4 linked regions of the Tamandua tetradactyla genome follow. The protein of the gene in region 3 interacts with the protein of the main gene of each other region in a biochemical or structural test. Links are inferred from orthologs where the notes say so. Each region holds a gene or a part of one and is shown on either strand. Other genes may lie near its edges. The genes, in order: GTF2B, GTF2E1, GTF2F1 and CDK9.

Region 1 (7,523 bases), about 40 Mb from region 3:
TTGAGAAGTTGCTGATTTTCCCCAATGAAAAGTTCTATCTGTACTCAAATAGCAGACAAGCCATCAATTCTGGGAGCCAAAGATTTCAAACATATCAATAAATAAGCAAATGGAAAAGTTAAGTTCAAGATCACATATGCAAATACATTTATCAATGGGATATGAGCCAGGAACATTTCAGTTTAAGTAGCACATGGGCTGACAAACACAAATGTCCTTGTGTGGACAGCTGTCCAAAATATTTTAGATCACAGCTAGCCCATAAAATCAAGTCCACATGATTGCTGCGGGTATACTGTTTATTGAACCCATTTCCCCAATTTTAAAGTCTTTAAATTGGAATTTCCATATATTGAGCTACAATTATGAGGCATATTGTATGGATTATGGACCCAAATTGCTGTGTTCAAATCCAGCTCTGCCTTTTACTAGTTGTGTGACTTCAGGTAGCTGCTTAACCATTCTGTGCCTCAATTTCCCCATCATAAAATGGGGATAATAATAGTATACAACTATTAAATGAGTTAATGTATGCAGAGCCTTAAAATAGTATCTGGCACAAAATAAGTACCAAATGTGTTTGCTGCAATTAATATCCTGATTATGTTTATTACTACTCCTACTGCTACTACCAGAATTTAAATAAGGCTTTATAGCCCTTATTAAAGAATCAAAAGGCTAGTAATCACTTCTACAAAAGTAGTCTGCACATCCCAGGGCACAATAATTTAGACCTAAAAAATATAGTTTTACAAATAACAGTTATATAATATGCATGCATGGAAGCAGGAACATTTTAGAATCAGTCATTCCTTACTTGAAATTTTACTATACCACTGCCTTACTGGGTGACCCTGGACAATTTGCCCACTCAATCTTTCTAAGTTTTCAGAGGAAGAATAATAATACTTGCCTGGCAAGATAACTAAGGAGCCAATAAGATCATGAATGTGAGGTGCAGGCACAGTGCACAGAGGGTTAGGAGTGTGAGGCACTCTTCTATTTTTCAGAATAAAGCCATGGAAATTGCAAAACCTACATGCTAGAGATTTCTTCTGTTTGGGAAAAAGGAAAAAGAAAAAAATAGATTCAGAAATAATAAAGCCAACTTCTGAAAAATGAGCAGTTAAAGTTGATCTCCAGTTTCTGTGATGTTCTGCTGCCTTCCCAATCTCTTTGCCTCTGGATCTTACAAAATCAGCACCTCTGTGGGGAAAGGCAGGGGTGTCTGCACTGAGAGCGTGAAACTTGGCTTCCAGAGCTCATTGCTACTCGAGCCTGCACTGTCTCAGCTCCAGCAGGACCATACTATCCCGCCTGGTGAAACCAAGTCACCAGGAATTAGGCCTAGGACAATAGCCACCTAAAAACTCACTATGTCAAGATATCATAGGTAATTTCATGAGTATTATATTGCTATCTGGAAAATGTTTAAAAGACCATCTTTTTAAAGAAATACACACTAAACTCTGTATGGGTTGAATTAATGTCTGGGATTTGTTTTAAGATATGTTGGTAAAAAGGAAAAAATAAGAGGAAGAGATACATGAAACTAAAGTAGCAAAATCTTGATAATTGATTAATCTGGATGATGGATATATGGGTAGTCATTGTATTATCCTCTTTAACTTTGAATGTGTTAGAACATTTTCATTCTTGTTTAAAATTTTTTTTTTTAAATCCCTCAGGTTTTTAGAAGGAATACATATGACCTCAGGTTTGGGTTTGCTAAAGTTGCTGGAATGCAAGATACCAGAAATGGGTTGGCTTTTACAATGGGGGGTTATTAGCATAAATTTTACAGTTCTAAGGCCGTGAAAATGTCCAAATTAAGCAATCAACAGGACAATAGCTTCTCTGTAGAGAACTCTGTAGAGACAGATGTTAGGCATAGAGTCCTTAAGGATTCCATATGAGACAGCAAGTCAGATTTATTGAAGGAATAAAATAGGGAGGAAACAGGTGGGAGAGTGAAAAGAAGAAAGCAGGTAGGAGCCTGAAATTGGCTCCCTCCTGGGGAGCCAGCAGGAAGAGAGAAAAAGAAAATGGCTCAGAGTCTTTGTTCTGGGAGCTGTGTTTTAAAGGGACAGTGATGCCAGGAGGGGAGGGTGCCCACTTGGTGGTGTGTTGTCCCTTAAGTGGATGGGGGCTTGTTGACTTAGGGTATGATAGATTGCTGAAGTATTCTCCTTTGATATGCAGGTTCATGTATTAGGCAGGGTGAGATGCTGGCAGGGAGGGTGGTAGCAGTGCCATCTAGAGGATACCATATTAGCTACTATGGCAATTGGTTCATATCTGGGTCCTTGGACCTGCCAAGGACTCTGAGGAGGAGGCTGAGGGAGCTCTGCATGGAGTTCCTTTTGTTCTTAGTCTGAAATCCAACAATAGAGGCATCTGGGACACCTCTGTCACACGGGAAGGCACATGGCCGGCGTCTGCTGGTCCGTCTGTCCTGGGTTTTGTTACTTTTAGTTTTTGACTCAGCTCTTCTGGGGACTTTTTCTCTAAACTCTCTCAGTTTCACCTCTCTGAACTGCCTGAGCATTTTCCATCTCCCAAATTCCATTTACATGAAAAGTCCAGACAAGGCAAATCTATAGAGACAGAACCACTATAGATTAGTGGTTCCTGGGGCTGGAGAGCGAAATGGGAAATAACTGGGCATGAAGGATCTCATTTGGGTGATGGAAATGTTCTAAAACTGGATTGTAGTGCTTGTTGCACCCACTCAGTAAAATTACTAAAAATCATTGAATTGTATACTTAGAATGGGTGAATTCAATCAACCTTTTTTTTAAAGATAAGTTCACCTTGGTCCACGGACTTTTTAAAATCTTTTATTAGGAGTGTAAAGCATTTTATATTTTAGAAAAACTATAACTAGTGCATCAAGTTGCTATTTCATTATAGTGATATAAACTTTGTCTTCAAAAATATTTTAAGTTTAAAAAGAGGAATTAATTTAAATAGAATTATTAGCATATTATTAGTCAACCTTATTGATGCCTAGGTGATAAAACTCAAATTGTGTTGCTATTTTTATTTTTAATCTCAGAATCAGTTATAAAAATTAAACGGGATACTGTTGATGAAAATACTTTATAATTTGCCAATGCTGTACTAACAACAGAAAAGGAAAGGCTTGCCTATTGCCTTCAACATTAATATAAAACATAAATTTTTACACGGTTACGACAGGGAAGAGACTTTCTAGGTGGGGCAGTTAACTAAACTAATCCATTTCCTTGTCTCCCTCTTCTGGGGCTTCAATTTCTCTAGTAGTTTTATCCTTTAACTAACATTTACTGAAAGCTTATCATGAATTCGCTCGGGGCTAGTATATTCGTGATTCTCAAGAGGAAGTCTAGCCACCCTCCTTCCCTTTGTCTCTCTCCTTTTCTCCAGAGCCAAGCTACTCTACCGTGAAAACTCCTTACCGAATTGGAGAACACCTTCAAACCCTTTCCTGGTGGTGCTTGGCTCAGCTGAAATGGATTGACATTTTTAAAACTTTCTCAATCACTATGGAAGAAAAAAACAAAACCTCACGAGTCAGTCATGTTTTTAAATTACAGAATGGAAAACTGGAACAAAAGAAATCATGCTCCCCCATCCCCGTCTAGATTTCAGTTCCTAAACTGCCCCCACCCTACACTTCTTTTTTCCTAAGGAAGTTTCTCCCACCTTCTCAAGAAAACAAGGAGTATTCAGTGGCATTTAAGTCTCATCCCCAAATGAATAAGGCGGTTACTATATTCTAAGTCCTTTTCCCAACAGAAACCACATAGCATCCTCTCTCCTCCAATCACCAGAGGAACCAGGGTGGTGCGTTCCCAGCAAACTGGTATTCAGACTTTAGTTTGGCTAATTAGTAAATATAGGAACCCTCTGTGTTATCTAGAAGGTGTACCAAGTTCTCCATACTTCAGCTATGAGCCAAATTTTTTAAAGACCATGAAAAACGATCAGGGAAGAGTCCATATATCCTCCCCTCATGCTCTGCAGAATGTTCTCACGTGCTTTTGTTTAATGTCCTGCCAACTCTAAAAGGGTATGCAAGGCGGATATTATTACCCCTTGCACTGATGGGGCAAGGGACGTGCCTAAGAAAGCACAGCATGTTAGCCGACAGCACAGCCAGAATGGACAGCCGATCTACGTGAATTTCTCTTTTCACTCCAAATTCCTTTGTGAAAAAGAATCAGCCCTCAAGGCAAGCAAGAAGTTTACTCAAACTGGAGTAACTGACTCCCGAGGAGCGGTTAACCCTCGATGGTATGGGCTTTGTTCTCACAATGACGTCGGGGTTTTCTTCATGTTTTAACATCCGTTGAGGGTAGCTCTGGGGCAGCCGTTTTTCAAGGACGTTTCCCTAGACAGTTTTATTAACTCGCCCATCAACAAAGTACAATTCAGAAACAGAAGAGAACATTTAAAAAGCTCAAAGCACGTGGCGTATGGGAGCTTATATTCTTGGCCTTTCTCCCGACCCGTAGCCGCGCCCAGTTACGACTGCGTAAGTGACTCGCCTATAAAAGCCTGACTCCTCGCGTCTTCTCGCCACAATCTCTTCCTGTTCTCTGTTCGGTTGTTGTTGTTCCTGGAGCCGTGGTGGCCGTGAAGATGGCGTCTACCAGCCGGTTAGTATGTCCGGCCGAGGCCGGCCAGCTAAGGGGCGGGCGGCGAACTCCAGGGATGCGTAGGCGGTCCCCTACGGCAGCGTCGTGCGAAGCGACCTGGGAGATCCGGGGAGACGCGGCGGAACTGGCTGGCGGACCCGGACAAAGGTCCAGACGACAAGACTGTCAGGGGTGTCGCAGGGGGTTCCGGGTTGTCGGCATTACAGTCTCAGCGTCCTGGGTCTTCCCAGACTTTCTTTTGTACGGTCGTTTTCTTAATTCAGGCACTACCTGGTGTGGGCCTGGGTGTTTTCAGCCGCCGGCCCCTCCTCTTGCCTGTATTTCAACCGTTTGTATTTGTTTTTTTTCCTTCTTGTCATTTTTCTCCACGTTTGTTTTTCCACCCAAGGCCCAACCAGCCTAAGTGTCCAGAGAGTCTTTCTTTCCAAAGAGCGGGAAAAGGGTAGTTCCAGGTCTCTCGATCTGACAGTTTGAGAGTTGAGAACGTCAGCTTTGGTAACCGAATGGAAACTGCTTACCATCCCAGCGGCGCTCCGAAGTGGACGACAGGGCATTTTTTAATAGTTAATGAGTTCTCATCCAAAAGATTTCTTTACAGATATCGCCTTCTGGATACTCCTGAAGAAAATCTTGCCTGCAGGCAATTACTTACATTATGCTGGGAAGTCACTCTTTACAGATATTTGTTAAGTGTAATATTCCCGTATCTAGTAAAAATGCATGCAGTGCCCTTGAGAAGCAGCCTTTAATCTTGTGACCTAAAAAATGCATGCAGACCCTAATTATATCTTTCATTACCCCTATGAGGTAAATACTAGTATTTTTGCATAAGTGTAAACTGAGTCATGCCAATGTTGACTTTTTTTAAGGTTAGTGTTAGAACAGCTAGTAGAACCTCAGATACCTGTTTTCTTGTTATCACACATCGGGCATCTAGTTAACTCAAAATGTATTAAGAGTATCAAATTTCTGCAGCACGGTGGAAGGCATTCTTCTTTAATTATTCTGACTATTATTATCTATGGAATTGAGCTCCGAGTAGAAACTATTGCTCAAAAAATAGTAAGCTGAGTGAGTCTAAACCCTTTCTGGTAACTGCCAAGACTTACCATTTTATATTGCGGAATTAAAAAAAAAATTTTAAAAGGAGCAGCTTTAGTTAATAGTCTGTTTAGAAATAACTCTTAAGACTAATGACACACTTGTTTACTGATTCAAATTCAACGATTGAGTGCTCAATCATTCAGTCTGGGTGTGGTTTTGTCGGGTAAGGCCAGAAAACACACTTCCCTTCCTCGTGGGTATATGGAAAACTTTAGTTTCCCAGAGTCAGCCAAATACAACTTATATTTTCATGGTAGTAAATTTTGGGAGTGAATGTCATATTTGGGCCTTGCTTTTGCATAAAATATATTAGAACAAGAAATTTTATTTGTAAAAAGTGTTGCAGTTTTTAAACAGTTTAGATCATTGTAAATTCACTTGATTGATTTTTTGCCTAAACAGTACATTACTTTTGTGTCTTTATTTTCTTAATTTGTTTTTAAAAATCCAAAAATTTGAAATAAATTTTTACTAGATAATCTGCAGCTCTTGAATTTATGTGCTTTTGCACTTAGACATCTCTCAAGTTTTTCTTTTACCAATAAGAACAAAGAAAGGTCACTGTTAATATATTTTCTTTTAGTTTTTTTTTCCCTGAGGATGAAATACAACCTCTGAGTTGTGAAATTGCCTGTAGTTCTCATAGAGAAGAGCACAAATTTAGTTCAGATCTAAGCTTTACTGCTTATTATTTTGATAACTTTGGGTACATAATTCCTGAGCATAATCTAAAATGGTGATGAATGCCTATTTTGCAGGATTGTGAAGATTAGTAATAATATATGTATTGCACTAGACACATAGTAGACACCCCGTAAATGATAATTGTAAAATGAGGTTTAGGATTAACTGACACTTTAGGTAGTCTACACTATTTTAATGTACATGGTGTTGGTGTTCTCCGTTCCTTTCCTAGTGTTTCTGTTCCTTACTTCCTCCACCACTCCCACTAGAGTGTGGTTCCTCTTTTATGTTACTCTTGTGGATAATTTGATTAAAAGTTGACTACTTTAGCATAGTTTCATTTTATTTTGGATAGCTAGCACAAATCCAAAGTAGGAAAGAATATATACTGAGAAGCAGTTTCCCTCCCCTACTACATCCATCCAGTTCTCCAAAACAGCCTTTGTTTCCAACTGCTTGGTGTTTGCCTTGAGATACTGTTCTTTTAAAAACATTTATATATGTTCTTGCCTCCTTTCCACCAGAAAGTGGCCTAATATAACCAGTGTTCATAACCTTGCTTCTGTCTTTATTGAAGTTAGCACATAAATTTTAAGTGCACAGCTCAGTTATTGCACAGTGAACTCATGCACATAGCTGCCATCCAGAACAAGAAATCAAATTCCCCTGGCACCCCAGAAACCTCTCTTCTGTCTTCAATTATTACCCCTTCCCATAGGTAACCATCTTCTGACTTCTAATACCATAGATTTACTTGGCCTGCTTTAAAGTTTTCATAAATCAAAAATGTATTCTTTTCATCAGCATTTTGAGTCATCCATGTTATTACATGTAACTGCAGTTCTTGTATAGAATTTCAACTTTACTTTTTTTGCTTAGCCTATTTTTGAGAAACATGTTTTCATATCATTATACAGAGTCATATAAATACTACTAAGATAATCTATCTACTTTTTAATGGTGCAGAATTATTGCTAGATCAGTCCTTTGTTAGTTATGTTCCACATGACTGCCCATTCTCATTTTATAATTATTGTTATTCTAACATTTTTGCTTTATTTCTCCATAGTTTTTCATAATTTATATTAATTG
Region 2 (7,321 bases), on a different chromosome or scaffold from region 3:
CCACTGACAAACTGGGCACCAGGCTATTATATATCCCTCCGATGCACGTTCTGCATAGGGAAGTCCCAGTGTCACTTACCAGCCTGTTTTCTTTGCCTGATACACTTGAGGGGCCTCTGAAGATTTAAACATGGATGTGACATAAACACTCTGTAATCCAACAATAGTGGATTTTGAATTTGAGTTCTACTTCCTACCCCTATGCCCTGGAAAATTCCCAAACTCAGTTTCCTCATATAAAAAGTGATTAAAAGTGCCTTCCTCACAGGGTTGACGTATGGATTAAATGAAATAATTCAAGGAAAATTCTCTTTCAGGGTTGGCACCATAATACAGTACAACTAAGTACTGCCATTTATAAGATTTTTAAAAGTGACTCTTGATTGTATGGTGTGTGAATATATCTCAGTAAAACTGCATTAAAAAAAACAATAAAGAAAAGGAGGAGAAAAACTAATGGAGGAAATTATCACTGAAAATTTCCCAACTCTTATGAAAGACTTAAAATTACAGATCCAAGAAGCGCAGCATACCCCAAAGAGAATAGATCCAATGGACATACTCCAAGACATTTACTAATCAGAATGTCAGAGGTCAAAGAGAAAGAGAGAATCTTGAAAGCAGCAAGAGAAAAGCAATCCATCACATACAAGGGAAGCCCAGTAAGACTATGCGCAGATCTCTTAGCAGAAACCATGGAGGCAAGAAGACAGTGGGATGATATATTTAAATTATTAAAAGAGAAAAACTGCCAACCAAGAATTCTATATCCAGCAAAACTGTCCTTTAAAAAATGAGGGAGAAATTAAAAAAAACAATAAAGTATAAATAAAAAGAAAAAAGTGACTCAACAATATGAGGAACGGTCTATAGTGAGTGAAAATGGAGAAAATGCGGGAGTATTAGCAACTACAGCAATCAAGTCAAAACTAAGGAAAACAAAAATGGGAGGAGAAAAAAAATAAAACCAAAAATTCCAAGAAAAGGACAGGATGAATGAAACAATACAGAAACAAAACTGAAAGGAACTAACAATATATTGAAAATGGGGTATTAGAGTAGGAAAAATTTAAAAATAGCTATTTGTCTTCGGCTATTATATTAAGGTTGATATATAAATATTATCTGAGAAATAGGTAATACCAGAAAAGTAGGTTTGGAAGCAGTGTGCACTCAGATGTTTATCTTTGAGGAAATACCACTAGAAAGATGCACAGCAGAGAGCTGTACAAAAGAAATGAACCAGGAAAGAAGTCAGTGCTGTGCTACTGTGTTCAAAATCTCCGTATTCTGAAATTCTTCTTCTGACCAATGACTTCCCTACTCCACCATTTCTACTTACCCACTCCTGCTGAATCTCCCACTCAATCTCTGGATATTTAAAGTAACTTAAAACAGAGGTCTCAAGTGGTAACCTATACACATATTGTTTGACCTAAAAAAAGTCTTGAAAAATTTCTGTAGTTACCAACATTTAAAAATTGTGAAATTTCACACGTTTCAACTTCCAGCTTCTCTTGAAAATTGAAAATATCTGAGAAAAAAAAAGACCACATCCCCACATGCAAATAAGCACCTGAAGGTGACCGCAGTTGGCACGTTTAGACAGGTTAGAAGCTTGGCTGGCCTTCTGAGTGTGTGACTTCTGAGTTTTTTCTTTTTATTCAAAATACCTGCCAGCCTCATCCCTAACCAGCCTAAACACCCAAACACAGGCTGGGCTACCATTTACCCACATGTATTCCAATCACAAAAACATTTAGGGACTACTGTTCACCAGCATAGAGCTAAAGAAACAAATTTGAAATGAATGCATTCTCTGCCCTCTATTTACCCTTGTCAGCCTAGCCTCAGCCACACTGACAATCTTTCAATTTCATGAGCCAAACAGGTTTTCTCCCACTTCAGTCATTGTACCTGCTATTCAATCTGTCCCAAGAGCTAAGTCCAAATCTCCTTCTTCTGATTATCCTTCAAATCTCAAATGACATTTCCTGTGAGAGGCCTTCCCAGATTTCTCTTGTTAGATTAGAATCATCTTCTTTAAGTCGCTCCTATGGCTCTTTTCCTTTCTTTAGAGTAGAGTTCTACTTTCTCCATCTCTCTCCCCACCCTTAAAACATTATTTTGTGAGCAAAGGCTTTATCTTGTTTACCAATGAATTCCCAGATCCAGCACAGTTAGTAAAGTATTACCATAAACTTTCAATAGATAACCTAGGCACGTGTTCTTCCAACAAGCCCACTCTTGCTCCTCCCCAACTCATTTATTCCATTCCTGCTTCCAGAAAAGAAAGGCTGTTGCCTTTTATTAAACTTCAAATGGTTTTAACAAGAAGGTGAAAGAACCAAATTCGCGATTTTAAAAAATTATGCTCCCTGCAAAGTGGAGTATAAAAGGAAAAAAGAGAGGATGAGAGGAATCTAGGTTACTTCGGTAAAGTATTCCAGTTCTAGAATTTCTTGGATTCTATAAACCTAACTGCTGTTTTCATAATTACCATATTTCATAGCACTCTCCACGCCTTCCCATGTTTCGCGGCAAACATCCGGACCCAGCTGCCCTCCCTAGCCCGGTCCAAAAATGTTCATTCCTCCCCACTACGAGACCCAGAGCCCCCAAACTCCCTTGGATTCTCCCAGCTGAAACCAGTAACCAAACCCAGCGCAGCCAAACCCAACCAAAACGCGGTCGCACAAGGGCTGCTCCGAGGTTAATGGTTCTTTGAAGGACCAAAAAGAGGTCCAGGTTAGAAGTGTAGGTAAAGGGCAGAGGGTGGTTAAGGAGAGAGGAGTGAAAAGGAGGAGAAAGCCTAAAATGCGACCCCGAGCCAGGGAACCTGGAACAAGGAATTGGGAACAAGGTTTACCGAAGCGAACGCTCGAACACTCCCACTACAGCTTCCTTCAGCGCCTCAACTACCGGCTTAAACGAGCTACGACACTTATGCGCCAACGTCAACGCGTTATTCCTGCGACAAGCCTTGGAAACCACCTCCCTACATTCACCTGCAGTCACGCTTTGGCCGGCCAATGAAATCGAAGGCTCTGCCCTTCAGGCCGGCTCTAATTGGCCTAGCGTCCTATAACTGACGTTGACCCCGGGAAGGTGGTGGCAAGATGGCTTCCTTGGATCGTGTGAAGGTGCTGGTGTTGGGGGACTCAGGTGAGTGGCTCAACCCGCTTCTGGGGCGCCCGACATTGTTAAGTTATCAGATAATATCCTCCCTTTACTGCTTGTCCCCCAGCTTAATTGTCTCTTTGGCCCGTGGCTGAAGTCTTTTCCAACGTCTAAAAACTACACTTCCCAGAGGACTTTGCTGCATTGACTAGACGGCGGCGGCGCGGGGGTTAGGTGCGCAGAACCCGGGCCCTGCTCCGCCTTCACCGCGTTTCACTCAGACGGAGATGTATTATCAGTTCTTTTGTCTTAGAAGATAGCACCGAGCTAGGGATACAGATGTTAGTAGGACCGCGCCTTGAAGAGACTTTGTTCTTTAAGGAAGTCAAACGTCCGCTAAGAATGGCACTGTTCCAAGCACTTTACATATATTAACTTATTTAATCTTGAAATCGGCGCCGTTACCCTACAGGTGATGAAAGTGAGGCCGAGAGATTGTGAAAAGCCAGTTTGAACCCCGGAATCCGCTCTCATTTGAAAACCTAACTTTATAAAATAGGTGGTCCTGTTTTGTTTTCACTTGAGCTTCTTGATTTTCTTTCTCGTTTAAACTTCATTGAAACTTACGCACACGGTTGTGAGAAATAGAGAAATGAAGGTAAGACTCATATTCTGGAGCAGCTAATAATTAATGCTGAGCCCAACGGAATCCTAGTATTAAAATTCTTCTTTGACACCTTGAAATTTTGATAACTAGAGTTGAAATCTGCATCCCCCCTTTAATATCTTGCTCACGTTCTCCCCACAGTAATACCCAATCCCAAACTCTTTAAGAACCCGAAATAAATGTTAATTTAGTGGATGTGCTTTTCTTGAATTGACCCTTGAGTGTGTGCACTGAGCAGACACTGTGCTGGATTCTTGGAGGTGGACAGAACTCACTTCAGAGAGTTTGAAAACTAGCTTACAAAAACTATATCAAATTGGGAGATGGGGAGTTGTTTTCACGTTGTCTGAAGATTTTTGAATTACGAAGTATTTCACGGAAAGCATTAATTTAATAGGCCCCTAAGAAATGTATTATGAAATTCCATGAGCAAAAACCAACCATGTCAGCTCTAGTTCTTGTCATGGAGCTTGAAATGGTGCTGAAGTTAATTTAATCAGATTGCTTAGTTTTGCAGATGAAGAAAATAAGGTATGGAGCAAGAGACTTGGCAAGAGACCAAATCGGATTTAGGCCTGGAATCCAGAGCACTTGGTAGCACTTCTTCATGTTATGGAACATGGTTATCTCTCACCTATTTTTCCCTTTATATTATATCTAACAATCTTTCATGTTACATACTGTTGGAACTAGTAGATTTATTCTTTCCCTCCCCTCCCTTCCCCCCAAATGCTTGAGTGCCTACTGCTTACCAGGCACTGCATTAGGTGCTGCATTAGGTGCTGAGGAATCAGCAAATTCCGTAACAGGGGTAGAATTATCTGCTGCATAAAATATGGAAAAGTAATCAGGCAATTAGTAAACATTTCTTTCTTTCATAGTTGAGTAAGTAAGACAGAAGACACAGCCTTACACACCAGGGAAATGATTACTCTTGTCACACATTCACTAATGTTATACTGCATGTACTAAGTCAGTTATTGCCTTTTTGTCAGTTCCCTTTTAGGAACAATTTACTATCTGGCAGGTTAGAATATACTTTTTACACTACATTTGCCTTTGTATTTAAACTTCAAAATTTACTTTTGAATAAAGGATTATTCTCCCAATGGAATTTTGAGAATTTCACAAGTATATAAAGGAAAGACTTGAGATTTAGAGACTTACTTTTTTCCCCAGAGAAGTATTTGATAATTTCCTGAAAGTTTCACCAACACGTACAGAATTTTCTCTTTGTTCTTTCAGATATTAGGAATAGGCTTAATATATTACAGCTACATTTGGAGCTGGCATTTAATTATATTGCTTCCCCCTTCCCAAGAAACCAAATGTATTCTTTTAATCTAATTTGGCTTTAATGGTGATAACATGGAATCAGAACCTATCCACCCCCCAGATTCTTAAAAAAATGAAGTTAGCCACTATTCTGAGCACTTCACCTGTGCTTACTGTTCAGAATTTCATCCAGTGATAGCTAAGACTTTCTTCCCAAAGCAGTTAATTAATGGAGAGCTGAACAGTATTACTGAGTAGAGACATTTTCTCTTATACAGCAAAATGAAAAGCTCAAGCCCTGTATCAGATTAACCAAGTGCCCAGATAAATGGGTCCAACATTAACAAATTAGCAATATACCCTAATGGTTACAAATACAGTTGCAATGTAATAAATACAACGGCAAAGCTAAGTTTGAATATTCAAAAATCTTAAATATTTGTATGTAATAAAATTAAAATAATAAAAAAGAAACCTAAGGAAATGACTCAAATACACGAGATGAAATTAATACCTTTAATATATAAAGAGGTCATATAAACTGATAAGAACGTGGGCAGAACACATCAGATAGTTCATAAACAGGAAAAGGTAATTGATTAGCAAAGATGAACGAAATATTATCTTGCCAGAAAGTAAAAAAAAAAAAAGCAGATTAAAACAAGAGGTCTCTTTTTACTTACCAGTTAACAAAGGTAAAAATGCAACTATATGATACTATTGAGATGTAACAAGATCTACTGCCTCATATGTGGCTGGTAGCCATGTAACCAGATGAAAGCTGTTTGTACTATATATATCAAGAAAACTTTATATGTTCATTTCTTTTTACTCATTATATTAAGCACATTTTTCTACTTTTAAACAAAAGTTTAAACAGCAATAAAAGCTTTTTTTAGGATATTGAGAAGTTAAAAAGACCCTAAGTATCTAATAATGGGGGAATGGGTAAGTGAATTGTTATGTCTAGTCTCTGAAATACTATGGAGACATTAAAACTATTTTTAAGGATTCTGTAAAAATATGGGAAATTTTACTCACTCATAATTACTAATTTAGGCACAGTACTGGACACTAAAAATTGAGTAGCATCCAGCCCCAGCCCTCAAAAGAGTTTAGAATTAAACAGGATGGGAGTAATGAAAATGTTCTAAGATTGATCATAGGGATATATGCACGACTGTGTGGTAATACTATGAGCCAGTTGTTGTAAACTTTAGATCGTTTGTATGGTGTGTGAATGTATCTGTGCTGGTTTGAAATTGTTGAGTACACCAGAAAAGCCATGTCCTTTAATCCTGATTCAGTGTTGTGGGGTGAAAACTTTGATTGATCCATGGAGATTGACACACCCAATTATGGGTGTGACCTTTTGATTAGATGAAGGTGTGAAGCTCCCCATTCAAGGTGGGTCTTGATTAGTTTACTAGAGTCCTTTAAAAGGGAGACCATTTTGGAGAAAGCTCAAGTGCCTGGAGAAAGTTGCTTGAGAGCCATCAGGAGATGCAGATGTTTGGAGATGCAGAAAGAAAACTCCTCCAGGGAAGCTTTTTGAAACCAGAAGCCAAAGGACCAGCAGACACCAGCCACATACCTTCCCAGCTGACAGATGTGTTCCAGACCCATAGACCTTTCTTTTTTTTTCTACATGGTCAGGCACTGGGGATTGACTTGAACCCAGGTCTCCAGCATGGCAGGCGAGAACTCTGCCTGCTGAGCCACGTGGCCTGCCTGCCATAGGCCTTTCTTGACAAGGTATCTCTCCCTGGATGTCCTAGTTTGGGCATTTTTATGGCCTTAGAACTATAAACTTTTAACTTAATACATTCCCTTTTTAAAAGCCATTCTATTCCTGATATATTGCTTTCTGGCAGCTTTAACAAACTACAGCAATATTTCAATAAAATTGTATTTAAAAATAAATAAGGGGCGGGCCACAGTGGCTCACTGAGCAGGTAGAGTTCTCGCCTGCCATGCCGGAGACCCACATTCGATTCCCGGTGCCTGCCTATGCATAAATAAATAAATAAATGCACAGATAAACATGATTTCAAATGCAAAAAAATTGAACAGGGTGAATAAAACTATAAACAAACATTAGCATGTATTTTTTTAATTAGAGAACTTGTATGTTCACAAAACAATTATGCATAAATACAGGATCCCCATATACCACACCAGCCCCAACACCTCCCTTTGGTTTGGAACATTTGTTACAATTGATGATAGCATTTTTTTTAACCTTTGTTATAATTAAAA
Region 3 (7,192 bases):
TAGAAGACAGTTTCAAGGAACTATTGCTGAATGAATGTGTCTGGGGGTAGTTTCTACCCCAGTGTTGCCTGGGGGTGGTTAAGTGTCAGGAAAGGGGCTGTCCCTTGTGGCTGACAGCATTTGGAGAGCTGTAACCACCCCATTCTTGGGGTGATGAGTGAATGTGATGGTACATATCCCAGAAAAGATCACGTTTTTAAAGCTAATTTATTTCCATGGGTGTAGACCTATTGCAGGTGGGGGCCTTGTGAGTAGGTTATTTTAGTTGAGGTATGCCCCAAGTGGGTCTGAAAACTTCTTACTGGAGTCCTACATAAGAAATGACATTCAGAATCAGACACAAGCTAAGAGGGACAGAAGCTAAAAGAGAAGCACACAGAAACTCAGAAAGAAAGCCACAGTCTGAGCAGACAGTAACTGAAAGCAAGGAAACCTGAAAAAGAAGGGCCAGCAGATGCCAGCCACATGCCTCGCCATGTGACAGAGGAACTGAGGATCATCAGTCAATGGGGAGAAAACATCATGATTTGGACATTTTCATACTTTAAACTTGTAAATTAATAAATCCCCATTGTAAAACCGAACTCATTTCTGGTACATTGCCTTTGGCAGTTTTAGCAAACTAAAACAGTGATTAAGGGGGCATCTACTCCAGGAGATTGGTTTCTTCCAAGGGGTGCAGTTTTGCCCACTCCTCATTAGTTTTTTTAGAGGAGGGTACCCTGAACAATGATATTTCTTTAGAAGCAGTACCCTCGGCAATGGAATGATTAGATTTTGGGGGGGGGGTGGTGGTGCCTCATCTCCCAGATTAGAAACAAGGAGTCCTCCAGGGCAATCAGTGGTGGGGGCATGCTTCTCCATGGCGATCAATGAATGGGGTACGCAGAACCCCGAGTTTCTAGTGGTCGGGAGGTCATGCACCTTGCATAATGCTGACTTCTCAAGTGCTGTCCCTGAAAGATCAGTGTTGGGGTAGCACCTCCTCAAAGTGACTGGTGTTTAGGAGCACAGCTCCTCCAAAGGTGTAAAGTTCTCTAGGTGCTCGGGGATGGGGGTAGGGAAGGGCAGCCCTCTGGTTGATGAAGGACTAAGGGTAATGTTCCCAGGTAACCAGTGAGGACTTCCTCTTGGTGATTAGGGATTTGGGAGAAGGGTGCCCCTACATCTCTCTCCTGGATGATTAGTGCAGAAGCCCCCCTCCCCCAGTGATAAGGGATTTAGAAACACTGTATCAGATGACAGACTAGGCTGGGATGGGGGGAATGGACCAGGTAGGGGGTGGAAAGCATGTTAGTTTGACCTTGTTAGTTTGTACGTAAGTAGGTAGCTAGAGATCTGTAGCTAGAGATCCCGGGATGCAGGCACGGCATATCTCTCTGGAACACGCTCTCTAGGGCAATCAATCACTCAGAGCCATCTTGAACATATAGTTTCATTATTTCAATTGGATGAAACAATATTTGAAAACAGCTGAAAGAGAACCATGCTCACAATATATGCAATCAGAGCTGCCCAACTGTGGGAGGGCCTGAAGCTGCCAATGCTATAAACCTTCCACCAACTCCCTGCTCAACTGCCCAGTCTCGGTGGCACCCTAAACACCCCGACTCCCACTCACACCCAAACTCCAACTCATATATCCAACTGCTTGCTTAACTTCTCATCTTCTCTTTGGTATCTAACAAATACAAATTTCCAGAATGGAGTTCTGGAATATTCCATCCAAACTGCACTTTCTCCAGGTTTCTCTATCTTAGTAAATGGAAACATCTGTGATTCCTCACTTTCCCTCACTGGCCAATACGCAATCCATCAATAAACCCTGTAGGCTCTATTTCCGAAACATATCAGAGTCCAACCACTGCTCATCACCTCCATTTTCTCCCAGCCTTGCTCACCAGACGCAGTGCTGCCTCCCTAGCCCCAGCAGCTAGATAACTCTGTGACTTGCCTGTTTGAAAAACCCTTTCATGGCTTCCAAGGTCATTTCTAGAAGCTCTCCTGCAGGGGGCTCTGGAGCCACGTGTAGGAGGCAGCCCAGAGCAGAGTCCCTTCCTGGCCCTGACAATCTGGGCCCAAAATGCCCATTAGTGGGCATGACTCCTAAACATTCTCCTTGAAGAAGGCTTTCTGAAGGGTCTGCCAAATCCCCTAAGCGGACATCCAGCAGCTCTGCCTGGGCCTTAGTCATCACTTTATTTCCACTCCAGGACAGCCTTCCTTTCCAAGCTATTAGAATCAGGTTCTCTCATTCCCTCATCCACCTACTCCCACCCCCAAACAAAGGACTTACCTGATTCCAAGTAGCAAAGTTGACTTTATCAGCTGCATTAAAGGCCATGATATTATACCTTTTGGTTGTGTTTCTTGAGTGGGCAAAAAAAAAAAAAAAAAAAAAAAAAAGGCAGTGTTCATTCATTCATACATTTGTTCATTCAACAAACCCTTCTGGGCTGACCCTCTGGGCAGGGCAATGCTAGGGACTCATAAAAGACTTAAGGGTTTTCCAGTCTGTCAAGGAAGCCAGATCCACACTCTCCCAACCACAGGCAAAAGTACAGCAGAAATAAGGACAAAGACCTGGGGGAATTTGGCTCTGGAGAGTAGGGTGAGCAAGGGAGGGGGCAGAGCTGGAGGCAAGCAGGGAGTGCTTCCTGGAGGTCCTGGACATGAATGAAAGCCAGACCAGTGGAGAAAGGATAAAAATATGTCCTTACAGCAAGAATGCGGGGAATAGAGAAGCATACAGGCCTCCAATGCTAGGCCAGGAGCCTGAATCATGCTGTGCAGTGATGATCGCCCGCTTATTCATTCAAAACAACAGAAGCCCCTGGAGAGACCTCAGTTCAACCTGCCCTCAAAGGCTCCCGATCTAAAAGGAATCAGACACGCCTAGAAGCTCGTAGAGGTCGTAATTCCCGTCTGGAGGCAGATGGGATGTGGGGTTGGGACTTACTTAGGAACTCGGACGACATACTCAGTGACATTCTGGCTGCTGGGGCCCTGTGGAGAGAGGAAGTGGGATGACGAGCGGGCGGGCTGCTAAGAGACCCGGGTCGGGACTCCCTAAAGCCGCCGCATACTTACTAAGGCCGCCATGGGAACAGTCAGTGGTCCGGGTGCCGTCCGACCCAGTCAAGTTGTCGGGGCCTCCTCCTTCTTGCCTCCCCCGAGGTTCGCGTCCTTCAGCCTTCGGGGAAGCAGTCCTCTTAGTCGCGGGAAGCGGTCGCTGACAGAAGACCCCAAGTCCTCAGCGCCGCCGGCCCACTCCCGCCCGTCTGCGCCTGCGCCGCCGCCTGACCTGGAAGCGAAACTTTCCGTGGCCCCGTGTCGCGATGGCAACCGCCTCCTGGTTCGCGGGCCCCTACACTTGCTGACACTTATCCCTTCTCTTTCTAGACCGAGTTGAACTCAATGCAGCACCTTCTGCCGCTCGCGCTCTGGTTTTCCACTATCTATATATAGAAAGAGGCGCGACTGATTCAATCACTGCGGCTGGGAACGCCCTCCCCATCGACGTCACCCCTTAATGGCCGCGGGGCATTCTGGGTAGGGAAAGGGGGTCTCCCTCCTCGCTGAGTCCCAGGCGCCTTGCGCACGCGTCATCTCCGGAAGTGAATCCATCGAATCCTTGTTACCATAGCAGCCGAGGCCTACTCATCCCGCAGAGCCACTGCGGCTCCACCAGGGCTTGTTTGGGGTTCATTTCCTCCTCCTGCCCCCGGGGAACCCCCTCATCCCGGAAGATGGTCGGACCAGGGAGCCCTTGTGACGTCGAGCCTAGCCAGGAGGGGTCAGGCCCTGGGTAGGGATGGGTAGCGACCACCCCTCTGGCGGCTGACGGGATGGGTCTGTGCAAGTCCAAGCTGCCCAAAATGGGCAGGACCCTGAGGCCCCAGGAGAAGGGTAACAGCTGGGGTGGTTAGCTTTCTGGGGGCAGGGGAAGGGAACTGAGGAGGGAAGTGCAGATGCGCGGTCTCCCCGCCTCCGCCGACCGCGCATGCTCACCACGCAGCCATTCATTCGTTGGTCCACCTGCTCCGACTGTGTGCTGCGCTGTTTGGGGGACTGAGCAAAACCAACTCCCTGCTCAGGAGAGATGGGAGGTTTCAGCTGGGCCCCGAGGGATGCAGAAGAGTTACCAAGCAAAGGGAGAGGGGAGCAAGACACAAAAATGCAACTGTAAACTACAGGCTCCGTAGATGTGCCTGGTAGCCTTGGGCATTACTTTATTCCTCTCTGATGACTATATATCAGGAACTGTGCCAAGCGCTCGAAATATAGGGATAAGCGAGACAGAAAGAGTCCTTGCCTCCATGGAGGACAGAGTCCGGCTGGGGAGACAAACAAGAACAAGTAAATGGGCAAAATAATTAGTGGCCATGGTCTCTGCTGTGGAGGAAATGGTGTCCTGAGACTGGGGATGAGAGGGGGAGGATTGGGCTGATGTGTGGCCTGAAGGAGCTGGAGCAGTGTTCCAGGTGGAGGTCCCTGGGGAGGAATGAGTTCAGCATGTTCAAAGGAACAGAAAAATGGGCACTGGGATGGGGCAGGGGAGGATGGAATGAGTCTGGGGACATGGGAGAGTCCCTGCTCCTCTACAAGCCTCAGTTTCCTCAACTGTGAAATGCGATGATAGAGCTGGTGGGCTGATTCAAGGAGATGCTGTGAAGAGCTTGGCCTGCTCGAGTTCATTTGCTCGTGGACAGCCGCCCATGGCAGTAGCAACTCATAACGTGCCTGGGTATACTCCTGGATATGTCCAGGGACCCCAGAGGCCATCCTAGGGCAAAAGAGGGTATGCCAGGAGACCTGTGTGCACTGCCACCCAAGAGCACGCCCTAACTGTGAACACAGCTACACTGGTGCTCACCAGCCCATCAGACCCCAAATCGTCTTCCTCCCTCTTCCTTGGGCACCACAGGTGTCCTCAAGACCCCCTCATCGTCTTCTTCATGGGCGGCCCCGGCTGTGGCAAAGGGACGCAGTGCAAGAATATGGCAAACAGATATAGCTTCTGCCACGTGGGGCTGGGCCAGCTGCTGCGGCAGGAGGCGCAGCGGGGCACTCAGCGGGGCCGGCAGATCCGTGACATCATGTTGCAGGGGCTCTTGGTGCCCACGGTGAGAGCTCATGGGCAAGGGTCAGGGCAGGAGGGGGTGCACCAGGCAGACCTCCCAGGTGGCCGTGGCTCCCAGCCCTTGCTTGGCCTGCCTTGAGCCTCCGTTTCCTCATCTGGGAGACAGGTTTGACCGACTGGACCCATGTCCGAAGGCGTGGGTCACTCCTCTGAAGCACTGAGCAGAAGTTCCTGGCACTTAGGAAGCTTTCCATAAAATCATCTGGGCCTTATTCCCTCTGTGGCCTTGGGTGGACCCCGGACCCCCTCTGTAACACCAGGACCCACCTCGAGATATTGTTATTTCAATCATATGGGACCCAGCACACCTGGACTGACACCCACCCAGTCAACAGTGTGGGGGGGGTGCCCATCCTCAGAAGTGGGTTTCAGAGGCCACTGGGCAGGGTAGGTGTCACCCCATCAAAGTGATCATATAAAAAAAGTTCTCCCAGGGTGGTGGGTGCAGGGAAGGGCCCCCCTGCCCCACCCCAAACACCAGATCCACCTGCTTCCTTCGCAGGGCATCATCCTGGACATGGTCAGCGACAACTTGCTGTCCTGCCCGGACAGCCAGGGCTTCCTCATTGATGGCTTCCTTCGGGAACTGCAGCAGGCCAAGGAGTTTGAGTGCATTGTGAGTGACCCCAAAAGCACGTGTATGTGTGTGTGAGGGCAAGCCGAGGGCAACAGAGTGAGACTCGGCAGAGGAGACCGAAGGGAAATGTGTTATCAAGGGACAGTCAGGTTGTGGGGAAGTTTCTAGAACCTGAGTGAGCTCTCTGAGGGCCTCTCACTGTTTTCCTCCAGAGCTCCTGGAACCCAGTAGATAAAATAGTTCCCCACTGAGTTTGTATCATCTTTAGGGCACAGGATGGGATGTAAATCACCACTCCTTCATCTATTCAACCACCCATTCCCAAATAGTTCTTGAGAACAGGTGCTGTCCTCGGGCCTGGGGACAAAGGCCAAGAGGAGGAACATGGGCCCTGCTTTTAAGATGCTGCCATTCCAGTGGGGACATCAGGCGCCCAGCAATACGTGCAAAACAAAACAAAGAAACTTCTGGAAGGGATGAGGGCAGTGGGGAACAGAAAGCAGAATGAATCCTGGAGGGATGGGAGTGGGCTCTCTAAGTTTAGGTGGTCTGGGGGGTGCCCAGGAGTGGAGGGATGGAGTTGGAAGCAGCCCCAGAGGTGGTGGAATAGCGACCCAGGCAGAGGCGGGGAAGGGAAGGGACAGAGGACATTGGAGTGGATTTCTTCAGGTTAATTTTACCTGTGGACACTGACTCCATGAAAGGATCCATCTGAGCCTCTGAACGGGGAGGCTGAGGGCAGGAGCATCTGGGATTGTTCTGATTCCATTTGGAAATGGGTAGCAGGAAGAGGGAAACTACAGCGGGTGTCGATTCTGGTTAAATTCCCTTCAAAGTGGTCTGGATGTGTTGATGCAATCAAAGGTCACAGAGCAGTGGGGTGCTGCCCTGTGTCCCTGTCTCCATTCAAGCAGTTACACCAGACGACTTGTGATGAAGTTAAAGGGCAGATCTTGGGCTCCCTCCCTCCTGGATGGAGACTCCAGGAGAGCACAGGGCTGGCTGAGCCATTTTCTGCCCTCCATGGCCTCAGGGCCAAGTTCTGGCCTTAAATAGGTTTCCCATCATAATTGCCAGCTGCATGGACCCCACAGTGGCTGCAGAGTCTAGACAGAACCTACAACCTACCCATTTGATCCACAGATGCATCCATTTGGGACTAGACAGCCTTGTTCTTGAATTCTTAGTGAACCTTCAGAAACTGGGAGATCTCAGATCACATTTCTTGAAAAAAAGCCGGCTGACTTGGCAATGCGTCCCCCTGGCAACAGGGACGGGGACGCGTCTTGAGTGCTGGCTGGGCCGGCACTGTTCTCTACGCTTGGCATGGCTGAATTGTCACCGTCAGGGATGGCTCTAGTCCCCATACTGCCTTTCCACAAGAGGATCTCGGACCGTGTCCAGGGTCACACAGTCTAAGTGTTTGTGAAGGCGGAATGGAAGCCCAAGCAGTCCAGTTCCCAATTACATGC
Region 4 (6,918 bases), on a different chromosome or scaffold from region 3:
TTCAACGTTAAAAGCATCAGTGGCAACAGTGTATTAAGCACACACCAAGTGCCAAGCCCTTTATACCCAACGTTGAATGTGCGTATCAACCCTGATACAAGCGTGACTTCTGTTCCAGAGAAGAGAAAATCAACTCTGAGATGACAGTTCAAATGCCTTACCCAAAGCCACAGAACTACATGGTGAGAGAACCAAGACTTGCACACAGGCTGTGGGGCACTAAAGAGGAGGCCCTTTCTCTGCTGGGCAACTCTCCTGGGAGGAGCTTTCTGATATTCCGTTCCCCCACTCCTCCCCAGCCAGGGAGACTTCTGGGTCTCTGCATCCTGTGGGGATCAGGGGCCCGGGCAACTTGCGCACACACCTCAGGGGTGATGGAGCCACAGAGTTGGCTGATCAGGGCGAGCTGGTGCTGCTCCGTGTTGCCCTGCATGATAGGGCTGCGGGTCCACATCTCCGCCATGATGCACCCAGCACCCCAGAGGTCAATGGGGGGGCCGTAGTCTCGCTCTCCTGGGAAGAAGAGCGCACCAGGAGGGCCCCTTGAGCCCAAGGGCTTCCTGAGATGCAATGCCTTGGGGCTAATGGCTCAGGAAGCCCTGGCAGTGTGGGGCTGGGGCCATGTAGGGGTCCTCACCGAGCAATAGCTCTGGGGGCCGGTACCAGAGTGTCACCACACGATTCGTATAGCGGTTGGGCTGGCTGTTCTTGGCCAGACTAAAGGCCCGAGCCAGTCCAAAGTCTGCTAGCTTCAGGACTCCATCACGGGTGATGAGCACATTAGCTGCCTTCATGTCCCTGTGCAGGATCTGTGGGAAGGGATGGAGTGAGGGCTCAGCCAGGTTCCTTGGAGTCCTTTGACCACACCCATCCAGCAGTGGGCACAAAGGCCAACCCAAGTCTTAGTAACTCCTCCCCCACTTTGGTGCCCACCTTGTTTCTGTGGATGTAGTAGAGACCATTGAGTAGCATCTGCATGACCTTCTTGATCTCAGACAGTGTGAACTTGACTAAGACGTTACTCAACAGCCCAGCAAGGTCATGCTCACAGAAGTCAAACACCAAGTATATACTGCCTTTGCAACGGTTATAGGGGGAAGCTGGAACAGCAAAAATGAAGGGGGGGGGGGGGCAGGGAGAAGAAAAGAATAAAAAATCCCACATTCAACCCACTTTCCCATGGTCAGCTCCTACCCCTCTTCAACTTATGGACCACCCATGCCCTCAAGCATCCGTTTGCTTGTTCCTTCACTATTTTCTGAGTGCCTCCTCTGGGCTGGGTGCTGTGGCAAGCCCTGGGAAAGCATCAGCTACAATGAGAGAGGACCAGAGAAAGCAGTCATCACTACTACGTCTGGGTTAAACAGAGGCCATTTGGTATGTCCAGTTCCAGCTATGTAAACAAAGTTCATGCTATAAACCTCATTTGTTACCATCTGAAAATAGGGAATAAGATCCAAACAACTTACCTTTGGTTCGACAAATCTCAATCAAGTTGACGACATTCTCATGTTTTAGAAGCTGGAGGATCTTGATTTCCCTTAAAGCTGTGATAGGAAACTGGTGGGGAGAAGGGGAGGACAATAAGGGGTCAAAAGTGGGTGAGGGGGTGCAGACCAAGGAACTGCCTCTAGAATCTGTTCTAAGGAACAGAGGCTGGGAAAGAAGTAAGAACATGGGCTCTGAAATCAACTGCCTCAGACCCCCTATGGATAAAATAAGTATAACAGTAGTATGTACACTGATTCCAGACAATTAACTGAAACAGATATTTAGCACACTTTACCAAGTCACTAAATGCTCCTTAATTCCTTTCTGCCTTCCAACTTTAGCTCTATGCTTGTGTTTAACTTGCTTTGTGGTAGCAAAAACAACAAAAATAACTATTAAAAAATTCCATGGCTACAAAATTAATCTCTGGGGAACTAGACTAAGAGGGAGTGATACAGGGCGTTAATCCTCTTCAATATGTTCTCTTGAGTAGAATTCAACTTTTCAAAGCCACGTGGATGTTTTTTACATTAACCAAAACTACACACTAAAGAGAAAAGTGTTAAAAGCTCCCCTTCCCGACCCCAACCGTGTTAACAAATAAAATGTCAAACGCTTCAAAACATTCTAATTAAAATACCTAGTTTGAAGGCCAAGTTCTCTGGAATGTGGCAATTCCCAAATTACTAGATGCCAACTGAATTTCAACATGAGACTCCTAGGAAAAGTGGGTCCCCATGTCCAGTGGAGCTGGTAGGCCTGCCCACCCAACCTGTACTCACCCCCTCCTTCTCGTTCTCCATCAGCACCTTCTTCAGGGCCACCTTATCGCCAGTCTTGCGATGCCGGGCCTTAAACACTTCCCTGCAGGCCGAGAGGGGGACCCAAGAGAGCTCATCAGGCCGCTTCCGCTGGGTCCGCCCCTCCCCCACTAGAGGAAGAGGGGCAGGATAAGAGATACTCCCGGGCAGGGCGGAGTATACGGGGCAGTTGGCCACCCCACTACCTAGTATCTATGGTCCTTCTCCGATCTTCTCCGCTTCCTTCCCTCAATTCCTCCTCCTCACTCAGGCATCTATCTGGGAGAAGTCCCTCTTCCCCCAGGGGCTTCTCTCTGCAACCCTTTCCCGTACCCCACCAGAAGCCTCAGGCTCCTCCCCGCCAGAAGGCTCCGTCAGGTCCGGGTGGGATGCAGTGCGGCCTTGGGAGATAAGGGGACAAGCCCGGGGCTCGGCGGCTTCCCAACCACTTCGGGCCCGACCCCGGGCCCCCGGCGTCGGCCCTGAAGCATGCAGCCCCCGGTCTCCCCGGGCCGAGTCTTACCCAAAGGTGCCTTGACCGATCTTGGCGAGCTTCTCATATTTGGACACTTCATCACAAAACGGGCACTCCACCGAATCGTAGTGCTTTGCCATGGCCGCCTCCAGCGCACCGCCACCGCCTCCAGTAGACGCCGCCACTCCCGTCCCAGGTCCCGCTGCCGTGCTCCAGGCCCCTCCGCGGCCGCGCCACTTCCGCCTCCACGGCCACTTCCGGCCTCGCGGCGCCGACCCCGCCTCTTCCGCCCGCCGCCCGCCGCCAGGCCCCCTGGGACTTGTAGTTCCCGGGAGACGAGGGGGAGCCGGAGCTGCAGCGGCGCCTCCGCCGCCGCCACTGCCCCCGCCTCCGCCGCCGCCAGTGCCGGCGGCAGCTCCGATCGGGGGTGCGGGGAGCCGGGGCGCCGAGGCTGGGGCTCGGGGCGGTGCGTCCCGCTGCATCGGCTCGGACCGCCGCTGCTGTCGAAGCTGCTGCCTCTCTGGCGCCCGATCCGGGGCCAGCCGCAGTGCCCTGCTCCTCCTCCTCCGCCGGCGCCGCCTCCGCCAGGCTGCGCGGGGCGGCGGGCGGGGGAGCGGCCCCCGAGCCGCGGCCTGGGGGCTTCCTGGCCAGGCTCCGGCCCAGGACAGCCGGGCGAGGGGTCGAGTCGGGAAGAGCCGACGAGGAGGCGGCCGGAGAGCCCGGGAAGGGGCGCGTTATAAAGGGGGAGGTGCCCGGGCCTCGCCCTCCCCTCCCCCTCCTCCCGCCTCCTCCCTCCTCCCTCCCACCTTCCGCGGCCGCACCTGCCGCTGCTGCCGCTGTCGCCTCCCGCTGTCCGCCGGCCGCCCTCGGCGCGTCACCGCCCGCGGCCCCGCCCCCGTCTTTGGAGGTGGGCCCCCCGCGCCCGACACCTGGCTGTGGGGCGCCCCTCCGCCTGACTCAGTTTACCCCCGCCCCTTACTAGCTGCTTCGGGGAACCCTTTCCTCCACAGCTCGGGGTGCCCCCCTAGAGGCGAAGGCGAGACGCGTCAAAGGAGCGGCCTCCGGCCCTGGGAGGAGAGACCAGCCCACTCCGCGGCCTCCCCAGGCCTCCTCCACCCGCCGTTGACATGGCAACCGATGGCCGCTAGGGGGCGCGGTGACACTGGAGGCGGTGAGCGAGCAACAGCCGGGCCTTCGGCCCTGGATCCCTGTTCTCTGGGCGGCAAGAATGAGACCCCAAGGAACTACCACTCCGCCCTGCTGCGTCAGAGCCAGTTGGGCAAAGGACAGTAATCACAAAGATAGCTAACATTACTGAGCACACCTGTGTGCTGGAGAAGTGCTGGGGACTCCGCCGAATCCTGACAACAACCCCTAGTTAGTCAGTATTACAAACCCGGTTTTCAGTGGCCATTTAGGCTCTAAGAGAAGAGATTATTTGCCAATGGTCATACAAAGCTGGGACTCGAACCTGGGCTTTCTGAAACTGAAGAAGTTTCTTGCAGCTCGCAGTATTTACAGTCTGCCAGGCACCAAGCCGGCTATTCACTTACCATCTCCCTCATGGGCCCTGTGCCCTCTCCCCCTTTCCCATCCTACCCATGCCTTCTTCAGCACCTCCCTCATATCTCTCTGGTTCCATGAGCCTCTGGATTCCTCCTCCAGATCTACCCAACGACCAGCCCCCAGCAAAGCTGTCTTTTCTAACTCCTTGCACCTCTTCAATCTGCCCTCTGGGCTCCGGCCCTCTATAAGGGATCGGGAGTCCTGGCCACCCCAGACTCCTCATCTGTCCCCCTCACAGCACCTGCCAGATTATTCTAAAGCAGAGTCTGTATATATTTCCCACCTTCCTCAAGCCCTCCAACTGTCTCAAGAAAATCCTGACTGTGACATTTAAAGCTCTTTCCAGTTTACAATCCCAGGCTGTGTCCTTATGGGTTTCTCTACTAATTCCCCAAGCTTCCTGGCTTCAGGGCTGTGCTCCCCTGACCTCTCTCCCCCAAAAGTAACCTTTCTGCCTACAGGAGGCCTGCAGGGCGGCTTCATAGGTTTTACCCCTCACTGCCTGGCCTTGAGGCCTTCTCATGAGAAAAGGCAGGAACGGGTTTGGTGATCGTGGTGTCCCAAGAGGCCTGTTCTGCGCAGATCCCTGCCAGGGAGAGCCTTGAGAGTCAGGCTGAGGAGCCGGGTGTCCTCTCCTGAGGGTAACGTGGAGCTGGTGAGAATTTTTGATAAGAAGTGAGCTGGGGTCAGCTTCTTGGGCACACTGTTAGAAGCAGGGAGACCCTTGGCCAAATCAGGTGCAAGAGGGCAGAGAGGAAGATAATAGTTATAGTAATTACCATTTATTGAGGAAAAATAAATGTGCTAAGCCCTATACTTAAGGGAATTATCTCAATTCTCCCTGAATCTTATGAGGTACCTACTATTATCCAGCCTGGTGTACACATAAGGACACTGAGACTCAGAGGTGATGTCACCTGGCCAGGGTCAAATAGCTGGCCAGTGGCCTAGCTGGCATTTGAGCCAGGTTGGCATAAAGCCAAGCTCTTGCCCATGTCATGGTCTGCCCTTCTGGGCTGGGGGCAGAACTAGGGATGTGGACTGGATGCTGGATGGGAGGTGTGTGAGGACATAGTAGCAATACTATGAGGTCTGTCATGGGTCTATGTGGCCTCCACCATCAGGCCCTCAGGCTGGGACCTGCTGTCTCTTTCACACGAGCAATCCCATAAGTCACATCCTGTGGGCAGAAGCCTCAGCAGAGGTTCCGGTGGTGTTGTCACCTCTACTCCACCATCTGTGACCTGAACTTTCACATCTGCCAGTCACTTCCCTCAGGCTGTGGGCCCTGCCTGGAGAAGGAAGGCAGGCAGGGCATTGGGAGCCCTTCAGAAGGCTGCCCGGGCTTGGGGCCAGACATCACCAGAGCTGCCAAAACCCAAGTGAAGGTGAGAAGAAATTAGCAAGAAACAATTTCTAGACTTTGATTTCAATTTTGCTGGTCTGAGGAAAGTGTTTCCTGTATCCCAGGTATTCACTAAGCAGGCAAAGTGGGGCACGTGACTGGTAGTCAGTAAATGTCTGCTGAGTGACTGTCTGATCAGGCCCTGGGAACTCTGGTCCTGCTACCCATTTTATAGTTAGGGAAACTGACACATTAAGCAGGAAGAGAGTCACTGCTCAGCTGTTTGACCCTAGCCTGAACCCTTTTCCCACCCCTGAGCAGGGATGGGTAATGGGCATGTGGAGGGGAAGGAGAAGACAGATTCTTTGGGTAGGTTGCTCTTTGCATCTGGCACATCCAGAAAGACAAAGGATCTCTGGGGAGGGGGATAGAGGAGAGAAAACATCTGTGTGATGCCCACGGTCTTGTCAAACCATGGAAGTTTTGCCCTTACTGGCTGGGAACTAACTCTGCCTGGCCCTGTATTGACAGGCATCACCCTCCTGAAACTTTATAGCACCCCTCTTAGGAGGTATGATAATCAAGGCCAGGTTATATAAGAAGAAACAGGCTCAGAGATGTGAAATGACCTGCCCAAGGACACACAGCTAGGAAGCAATTGAGCTGGAATCCAAAGCCAGATGTCTTTTCTCTCAAAGCCTAGAGTGATTAACCATCATCCTACATTGCCCCCATTACCAGTCAATGGGGTCAACCCAGGGAAAAGCATCTATTGAGCACCTACAGTTTAGCAGGCATGGGGCCAATAAGTATGGGTAAGACCCATTCCTCTCTCAGGGAGCTTAAGGTCTGTTTGGAACATGCAAATAAAGACACACGTGGATGTAATAAGGATGATGATCTTGGTATAAATGTTTTATTTCACGGTCATACGAGAAACATCATATTTGCTCCATTTTAATGATGGGAAAAAGTGGCTCAGAACGGTGACATAACTTGCCCAAGGTCACCAAGGTGGGGACTGAACTTAGGTTTGCCTCAGTCCAGTACCTTTGATTATAACATTTAAGGCCTCCAATCCCTAATTGTCCCTGGCCAAGCTACAGGCTATTGGGTCATAGACTGGGGAAGAGGTGGCAGGAGTGAGGGACAGGAACCAGAGCAGGTTCTTGGGGGCACTGTAGCTAAAGATGGCCTTAGAGGTACTGGAAGGAGGCAAAAGATTGAACCAGTGGCAACAA

What was found.
Region 1: the proteins of GTF2F1 (region 3) and GTF2B form a complex in vitro, tested with the Homo sapiens proteins (3 studies listed by BioGRID and IntAct). The link is inferred for Tamandua tetradactyla from reciprocal best matches to the Homo sapiens genes GTF2F1 and GTF2B.
Region 2: the proteins of GTF2F1 (region 3) and GTF2E1 form a complex in vitro, tested with the Homo sapiens proteins (3 studies listed by BioGRID). The link is inferred for Tamandua tetradactyla from reciprocal best matches to the Homo sapiens genes GTF2F1 and GTF2E1.
Region 4: the proteins of GTF2F1 (region 3) and CDK9 form a complex in vitro, tested with the Homo sapiens proteins (2 studies listed by BioGRID, with this or other methods). The link is inferred for Tamandua tetradactyla from reciprocal best matches to the Homo sapiens genes GTF2F1 and CDK9.

The regions. Positions count from the first base shown.
Region 1 is NC_135337.1:35,873,687-35,881,209, forward strand, and holds the start of GTF2B (transcription initiation factor IIB), read left to right. Parts: upstream 1-4,504; 5' UTR 4,505-4,626; coding exon 4,627-4,643; exon of another isoform or gene 4,644-5,100; intron 5,101-7,523. UniProt on the Homo sapiens protein: General transcription factor that plays a role in transcription initiation by RNA polymerase II (Pol II). Involved in the pre-initiation complex (PIC) formation and Pol II recruitment at promoter DNA.
Region 2 is NC_135336.1:25,108,768-25,116,088, forward strand, and holds the start of GTF2E1 (general transcription factor IIE subunit 1), read right to left. Parts: upstream 3,001-7,321; 5' UTR 2,870-3,000; intron 2,864-2,869; exon of another isoform or gene 1,918-2,863; intron 1-1,917. Other genes in the region: RABL3 (rab-like protein 3), read left to right, coding at 3,120-3,165.
Region 3 is NC_135337.1:75,642,538-75,649,729, reverse strand, and holds the start of GTF2F1 (general transcription factor IIF subunit 1), read right to left. Parts: upstream 2,960-7,192; intron 2,876-2,959; 5' UTR 2,816-2,875; coding exon 2,721-2,815; intron 2,370-2,720; coding exon 2,297-2,369; intron 1-2,296. UniProt on the Homo sapiens protein: TFIIF is a general transcription initiation factor that binds to RNA polymerase II and helps to recruit it to the initiation complex in collaboration with TFIIB. It promotes transcription elongation.
Region 4 is NC_135328.1:50,628,524-50,635,441, reverse strand, and holds the start of CDK9 (cyclin-dependent kinase 9), read right to left. Parts: upstream 3,023-6,918; 5' UTR 2,907-3,022; coding exon 2,815-2,906; intron 2,356-2,814; coding exon 2,274-2,355; intron 1,561-2,273; coding exon 1,470-1,560; intron 1,101-1,469; coding exon 934-1,100; intron 810-933; coding exon 638-809; intron 514-637; coding exon 365-513; intron 1-364. UniProt on the Homo sapiens protein: Protein kinase involved in the regulation of transcription.